Regions from separate parts of the Mus musculus genome. Here region 1 is reported to be linked to region 2. The links are microRNA targets in miRTarBase. Many come from high-throughput screens and were not tested one by one. Region 2 holds a microRNA gene; the other region holds the end of a gene's coding sequence.

The links. The annotated mature microRNA mmu-miR-298-5p reads GGCAGAGGAGGGCUGUUCUUCCC and lies in region 2 at 2,604-2,626, shown strand. An mRNA with a match to its seed (bases 2 to 7 or 8) in the 3' UTR can be bound and repressed. Matches are read on the target gene's strand: a 7mer-m8 pairs with bases 2 to 8, a 7mer-A1 pairs with bases 2 to 7 and ends in A, and an 8mer does both.
Region 1: miRTarBase lists Tapbp as a target of mmu-miR-298-5p. Seed matches in the 3' UTR shown: 7mer-m8 at 541-547 and 7mer-m8 at 693-699.

Annotation. Positions count from the first base shown.
Region 1 is chr17:33,927,875-33,930,874 of GRCm38, forward strand. It overlaps Tapbp (TAP binding protein), which reads left to right. Exons shown (of 8, transcript NM_009318.2): 8 at 266-1,416. The coding sequence ends at 277. Rgl2 (ral guanine nucleotide dissociation stimulator-like 2) reads left to right here and starts at 2,020. Exons shown (of 18, transcript NM_009059.2): 1 at 2,020-2,170; 2 at 2,371-2,567. The coding sequence starts at 2,412.
Region 2 is chr2:174,265,698-174,270,178 of GRCm38, reverse strand. It overlaps Mir298 (microRNA 298), which reads left to right and starts at 2,594; the gene lies at 2,594-2,675. It overlaps Mir296 (microRNA 296), which reads left to right and starts at 3,054; the gene lies at 3,054-3,132.

The DNA of each region.
Region 1 (3,000 bases), not on the chromosome of region 2:
GGCAATGTAAACATGTAGACAACATAAGGACTTCCAAAGCTCAGAGCACAGCCCAGGGGTGGGGTTTGCTTGGATTCTCAGCTGACCCACTGGGTCTTCTGGAAGACTCAGGAGCGAGGACACTCATGACCATGTCTGGCCGGTGGGAAATGACAGCCCCAGCCTGCTCCCACGCCTGTAACTGTGAGAATGTTTCTACATTAACTGGGAGAAACTCACTTCCCTCCCAACACTTCCAATTCCCCACTTCTTTCTTCTCTTGCAGAAGTCACAGTAAAGAAGTTCTCGTCTGTGGAAGCCACCCTCATCTCTGGCCCAGATGACTCCAGTAGCCCCTGCCCCAGAACAACAGCCTTCTTCTCTTCTTCTCCCTCCATTGAATAGCTCGGATTTTTTTTTTTAAGGTTTTTTTGTTTGTTTCAATCTTTCTTGTTTTGTTCTTGTTTTTAGACAAGGTCTCTCTATGTAGCCTTGGCTGGCTGTCCTGAACCCTCACCAAGCCAACCAGGCTGGCCTCGAAGTCCCAGAGATCCACCTGTCCCTCTGCCTCGGAGTGACAAACGGCACTGGACACCATGCCTAGAGGTCTTTTTTTTTTTTGGTTTTTGGAGACAGGATTTCTCTGTATAGTCCCGGCTGTCCTGGAACTCACTCTGTAGACCAGGCTGGCCTCGAACTCAGAAATCCGCCTGCCTCTGCCTCCCAGGTGCTGGGATTAAAGGCGTGCGCCACCACCGCTGGACTCGAACTAAACTTTTAAGATGAGAAAAAAGCGAGACTTAGCGCCACACTCATTTGATGCCCACAGTCGGGAGGCAGAGGCAGTGGATCTCTGACATTTCCATGCCAGCCTGATCTACAAATAGGGAGTTTCAGGTCAGTCGGGGTTACTTGGCGGGGCTTTGTTGAGAGAACTAAATATAAGAACACACATGCGTAGAGTCCCAGGGTTGAGAAGAACCAGTGTATGCGCCAGAGAGGCGGGTTCATAACCTGTGGCTCACAACCCCCTTTAAGTCCATCGGAAATACCAGACATTAGGATTCACAACAGTAGTAAAGGCAGTTACGAAGTAGCAAAGAAAATAATTTTACAACTTGAACTGCGTTAATGTTAAGAAGGTTGAGAACCACTGGCCAGGGGATTAGGACGAAAGGTCTTCATAGCATCTTAAGATTCTAGAGACCTCAGGGACAGCCCACAGCAGTAGTCTAGAGACGGAAAGGTCCATGTGTCTCCCTCGCGGACTAAAGCCTACCTCTCCAGCTCTCCATTCCTACCACAGCTTTTCTTTTGCCTGGTCCACCTTTACCATCTCCGGGCCTGGTGGGTCTCGGCCCTTTACGAATGTCCCCGTGTGGTTCGTCCTCTCCTGTTCGCCGGTCCTCGTGAGCTAATAAAGTCTTTCCGAGTTTCCATGCGGGCCTCTCATTCTCCCGTTTCCAAGCACAGCCAACCTCGGTCACCTCCCGGTCCTCGTCTCGCACCCGGGAGACGACATAGCCACCGTGGGAACCGCGCGCGCTCGGGCGCACGGTGAGAGCCGGACGCCCGGAGCGACGGACCCGAGTGGAACCGGAAGCGCCGCACTAGCCGGCTTCCGCCCCCTCCCCGCGAGTGGGCGGGCATAAGGGCGGCACAGAAAACCCGGCGCGGATTCGCTCCGTTGCACTCGTGCCGGGGCGGCAGTGTCATTCTCGAGCTGCAGTAACGGGGTCGCGCCACTGCTAGGGCACTTTCCTCGGCAGTTGCAGCGCCGCTCTGGTTAGAAAAAGTGACTTAAAATTCCGTGTTTGCCTTCCTGTGGAGGCTTGAGACAGGACCCTGGTCTCCAGCGTGTCTGCTGCGAGACGCGGGCTTCAGAGCCACCGAGTGGGGCTGCAAGGGACAGCGGAGTAGTGCACCTGCAGCCTGCGTCCCAGCCCCTGGCGTCCAGCACTCCCCTAGTCGCTCTCCCTGGCTCCTGTCCTCACTTCCTTCCCTTTTTGGCTCCTGCTGTCGGGCGGACGCGGGGAGGGGGGAAGCGGAAAGGGCGGGAGGGCCCGGGAGCCCGGCGGGGTGCAGGAGGGGGGCATCGCGGAAAAGCCGGGGAGGGGACTCGGTAGAGGGCCAGAGACCGACAAGAACAGAGGCCCGGGACCCGCGCGCAGCCCTCGCCCTTCCCGAGCAGGTCAGAGCCGGAGCACCGGGTGACCCTGCCCATTCCGCACTAGTTAGCCCCCAAGTCCCAAGCAAGCACCGAGGGCTTGGGTTTCCCCACTCCCGTATCTCCCTCCCCCAGCCTTCCTCAGGGACTCCCACCTAGGTCCCTTCTTGTCCGTCTCCCCCACGCCCGTCTGACTCCACCCAATCCCACCCGTCTCTCCCCAGGCGCCCCCATGGCCCGACCCCGCTGATTGCTTCTCTCGGCCATGCTCCCGCGGCCCCTGCGGCTGCTTTTGGACACGACCCCCCCCGGGGGAGTCGTGCTGAGCAGCTTCCGGAGCCGGGACCCCGAAGAGGGTGGGGACCCAGGTGGCCGGGCCGTGGGCGGGGGGCAGGAGGAAGAGGATGAGGAAGAAGAAGAGGTGAGACGCGGGTGGCGGGAGGCAGGGCATTAAATATTTCTGAGACTCTCCTCCTTTCGGTGTCTCTGGGTCCCTCGGTCTCTTCCTCCCCGCCTCACTCGCATCCCGCCCGCCACACTCTCTCTGGATATCTGTCCCCTGGCTGCGGGTCCTGGTGTCTATGAAGTTCGCCCTGTCTGTCTGCTCGGAACCTGCCCGTAGGAACCTGCCGGAACCAGAATGGCTGGCTGGCAGACGGGCTGACTGTGCCTGCGGGGCTCAGGCCCTCTTTGCCCATACCTGCTTAGACGGGTGCCACTGGGCAGTTGTATCTTGGTCCCTGTCTCCCTCCTCGTTTTTTGTTTGGCTGGGAGGGGTTTGTTTCCACAGTAACCAGCTCCTCAGACTCTAGGATTGGGGAGGGAACCCTCAGATTTCGCCGCCTCTTCCCCCA
Region 2 (4,481 bases):
TTCCTTCTCCCCGGCTCAGTCTTGCTTCTTGGGAAAAGGTATTTTTCTTGGAAACAGTGAGACTTGGTTGATCCCTATCTCCCAAGGCCTAAGTCCTGTGGGCTTCAGGATGGCACTGTGTCACTATGTCGCTGTGTGAGTTGCTTATTGCTCCAAGCTCAGCCTTAGTAATTCAGAAGGCCTCATTCTTATTGACCTGTTTGTAGAGTCTGCAGCGCAGAGGCCTAGGCCTTGGGGGACTACGTGTTCATTTAATTCACTTCAACTTCATGGCAACTAGAGAGAAGCCTAGCTGCAGCCGAGCTCCCAACTTGCCGAGGGCCACCTCGCTGAGGAGTAGGAGTCAAGCCCGCTTCTGACTGAGGGGGTAGCTGGTGTCCAGAGCCTATTTTCCAACCCTGGCGGGCACTGAAAAGCCTTTTGAAGGGGGTCCAAGATGATACTTAGGCTGAGCTGAGTTTAGGCCATCAGAGACCTCGGTGCAGCAGAGCTGTGAGGGAGATAGCCGCTGGGGCTGAGGGCATAGGTTTGGGATGAGCTGGCTGGGAGCTATAGGAAGGCACATAGGAGCACACTTAACAAGCACTGAGGGCCACATGTGAGGTGTCTACTTGGAGGAGTGGCTCGTGGCTCCTAGCTGCCCTTGCAGGGGCTCTGGTACACTCAGGAGTCAAGTGGTTCTTCATGTGAGCAGAAGCTGAGGGGTGACTGGGGCTGATGGAGGTCTGAGCTACCCTCGAATGAGGATTTGGGGCAATGTTCACCGAAACGGTCAAGTCAGAGAGGCTTTCTCTGGGGCCTCTGACAGTGTAAGCAAGAGGCACCCTCCCTCGTACTTGTGGGATCTTCAGCTCTTTTGCAACTCAGCCTGTAGCTAGGGATGGGTCTTTGTAGTCTGCTGGACAGATAAGACAGACATCCACCCCAAGTGAAGATACAGAGCATCCTCTCTCCTTGCAGCTGAGAGCTGGACTGAGTGCTACACAGTTTTGAAGGAACAACTCTAGAGTGTCCTTGAAGATGATGGGGCCCGCTTACAGTAGCTTCTCTCGCAGCACCTCTAAAGTCACCAGCTCACCTTCTTGGCAGCCTGGAGAGCTACGTGTACCTCCTGGCATTTCTCTGTTTTCTGAGTGATGGGAAAGGGGCTTATATGGCCAACACTTGGAGCCACATCTCTAGCCGCCAAGTCAGATGTATTGGGAACAACTGCACAGAGGGGAGAGGACTCCGCAAAGGGCTCACACTAAAACTGTGCTCTTCCTCTGGGGGGAGGACTTCAGAGGGAGTACAAAGTACCTCAGCCCCTCACAGCTTGGTGGTGATGCACCCCTTTTCTGAGAGCCACTTAGCGCAGGATTCCTGTGACCCTTCTGTGCTGAGCAGCTCTTGGGCCTGACACCATCCCCAGCTGTCCCAGCCTTGTTACCTATGGGTGCCTGGGTTGGTTGTCCATGTTGATGGTTGGGATCAAGGGTGGGTGGGTGTCCATCAGATGTGTCTTTCTGTGATGGGCCTCACTGTTCTTCTGTTTGCTTCTGCCTCCCACTGTTGCTCTACTGCACCCGTGGGAGCATGATGGCTCTGCTCCGTCTCTCTTCTCTGCTCAACCAAAGAGTTTCAGAAAAGAGAAAGGAAGCCTTTTCTGAAGTCTCTAGACTTGATTTCTTGTCCTCAGTGCTTGCCCTGGCTGAGGGCCCCGTACAAGTGAACTCTGGGAAGATGATTTGTCTAGGGTCATGGACAAAGGCCTTAGAAGATGACTTCCAAGCCTATTTCGTTAACGACCTGCATTCATTAGAAAAGGACCTGTGTTTTCAAAAACATGGCTCTTGTGTCTCACATGGTCAGACAGTAGCCAAAAGATTGCCCATAAATATGTCTTCTGATGGCTGTTTGGCTACTAGGACAGAACCATTAAGTTGAAGAGCTTAAAACTATGACCTTAGCGGCTGTGTGTCTGTTTTGTTTATGTCTTAACATTCCCTACCCCATCTCTCTGTTCTAAGCACCTCTGAGCTCTCAGCACAGTCCTGCCTTTGAAGCCTTGTGTGATGGGGAGCCTCAAGGATTGGAGCCTGCACTTCTTCAGCTGCTTCTGCTGTGAGCACAACATTCAGTCCTGAGGAAAAGGTTTGCTAAGTAGGAGAACTTGGGGGTTCTTCCTCCTCAGGTATGGATTGATTTTTCACCTCACAGAGACCCAGTCAGCACCCATGGGGTGGGGCATTTGAGTTGGGAGGTGGGTCTTGCTGGAGCAGAGGCCCAGCAAGGTGGATCCTTCTTGGAGCGTGGGAATCTACAGGGCTGCTTAGAAATGGTTTGATTGGTTCATAATGGCACCTTGATAGAACAAGAGGGTTTACTGTACAGGATACTTGCCACACCATGGCCCTCTTTGTGCTACTACATGCAAGTGAGTGAGTCCATTGGATGGAGTGGTCATAGACAGATCTGGCCATGAGATGAGTGTCTCTGGACCCCCACTAACTAGCTCCTGCCCAATTGACTGCTTCCTGAGCACCACAGCTATTTGAGGTAGGCTGGGACGTTCCTGCCGTGCTTGAAAGAGACACCAAGAGGCATAAGAGGCCCAGGCCTTTGGCAGAGGAGGGCTGTTCTTCCCTTGAGTTTTATGACTGGGAGGAACTAGCCTTCTCTCAGCTTAGGAGTGGGCCAACAGCTTCCTTCCGATCTCCAGGAGAATGTTGCTGGTTGACACACGGAACTCATCCTCTAAGTTCCCCCACCCATCAAGGTAGCTGGTGGAGTCAGAGATAGATGTTTCTAAAAGCCATGGAGAACTTTGAGGTCTTGTCATAATGCCCTGAGCCTACTACTAAGACTGCCACCTTCCCATTGTCGATGCAGTGGCTTCTGAGCGCACGTAGCTGGGAAGCGGGTGAGCGGGCCAAGATCCAGGTTAGTGGGCATTCGAGACTACAGAAAGAGACCCTCCTAGGGTCTTGGGGTTGGGGAGACAGAGGCAGGGCCCCTAAGAGGGGATCTCCATCTGTGTGCACACAGAACAGCCTATGTGGAAGGTGACAAGAGGGCCTTTCTGGAGGGCCCCCCCTCAATCCTGTTGTGCTCGCTTCAGAGGGTTGGGTGGAGGCTCTCCTGAAGGTGTCCGCAGAGCGTCGCATGGTAAGTAGTCCCTTGGGGCTCTAGAGAATGCTTGCTGTCTTTGGCTTGATCCCAGTGGCAGCCTCTGCTAGACTAGTCCTGCCCCCCAGTTAGTGCTCATGGGGTACCAGAGACCTGACCCCACCCTGTCTGCTCTAGGCTAATAGTGCCCTGCTTCCCTGGGCTTGTACCACCTTGTGTAGTATCTCCCTACTCTTCTGTATCCTTGGCTGGGAAACTTGCTTCCTAGCACCAGACCTTCCTTGATGTGGTTGTTTGCTTTCCTTTCACTTATCTTTTCTTTCCTACAGGAGTGGGATGGACATCAGTCAGATCCACACCGGTCTTCATGGCAGCCCCCCTTTTTTATTTATTTATTTATTTATTTTTGAGACAAGATCTCACTGAATTATCCATACTGGCCTTAAAACTTGGAATCCTTATGCCTTAGACTCCAGCATTTCTGGCATAAACTGCTGTGTCCAGTCTAGAAGGCATTTTGGTGAACCACCCCTGTAAGACTGAGCTGGGGGGGGAGGGTGTCAGGCACCCAGTTTTGAGTTACTCACACCCAGCCTCTCCCAAGTGTGACACAGTATCTGCCTAATAAATTCACGAAGAAAGATTGTTTGGTGTTGTTCTCATCTGTGCTCTGCGCTCTACCCAGCTCTGCCTGGTGTGCCCATCACTCATCCCACTTCACCAGCTTGCTTCTAGCACACACCTGGCTTGATCTTGCTTCTTAGTGTCTCTTCCCATTAATTAGATTTAACTCAACTGCAAGAGGGCTGGAGCACCTTTCATTTAGAGTACAGTAAACTCTGAATAGAGGGAGGGCGGGAGGGAGGGAGGGAGGGATGGGGGGTAGGAGGGGGAACAGATGAGTGTGTGGATAGATGCGCGGGTAGGTGGGTGGATGGATGGATAGAGAGACATTGAAGAAGATTCAAACCAATAGTGCAGGTTAAGCACTAAACAGGGAGTGAAGGCTGTGAAGCCCAAATGGGAGGCTGTGTATCAGCCGTCTCGTGAGCAGAAGCTAGAGTAAAACCCTCAGATATGAATTCTATAAACTTCAGTTCTCTTCCTTTGGGAAGCCCCAACAAGCTACTCACTCACCAGCCATAGGCCGCTGTCCTCAGGCCTGCTGTTTCTGCTTTTCCAACACTCCTCTGCACTGAGCCTCCTTCTTAGTGTTACCTGCCACTCATCTTCCCACCCTCTTCCTTGTCTGTAGCCATTGTCTTGACAAAGAGGTAAGACTCTCCTGGCTGTGTTACTAGTGGGAGAGAATGGTTGGCATCAAGAACTGCAAAAATCACCACATGTGTCAGGAGAGACTCTGGGAGAAAACA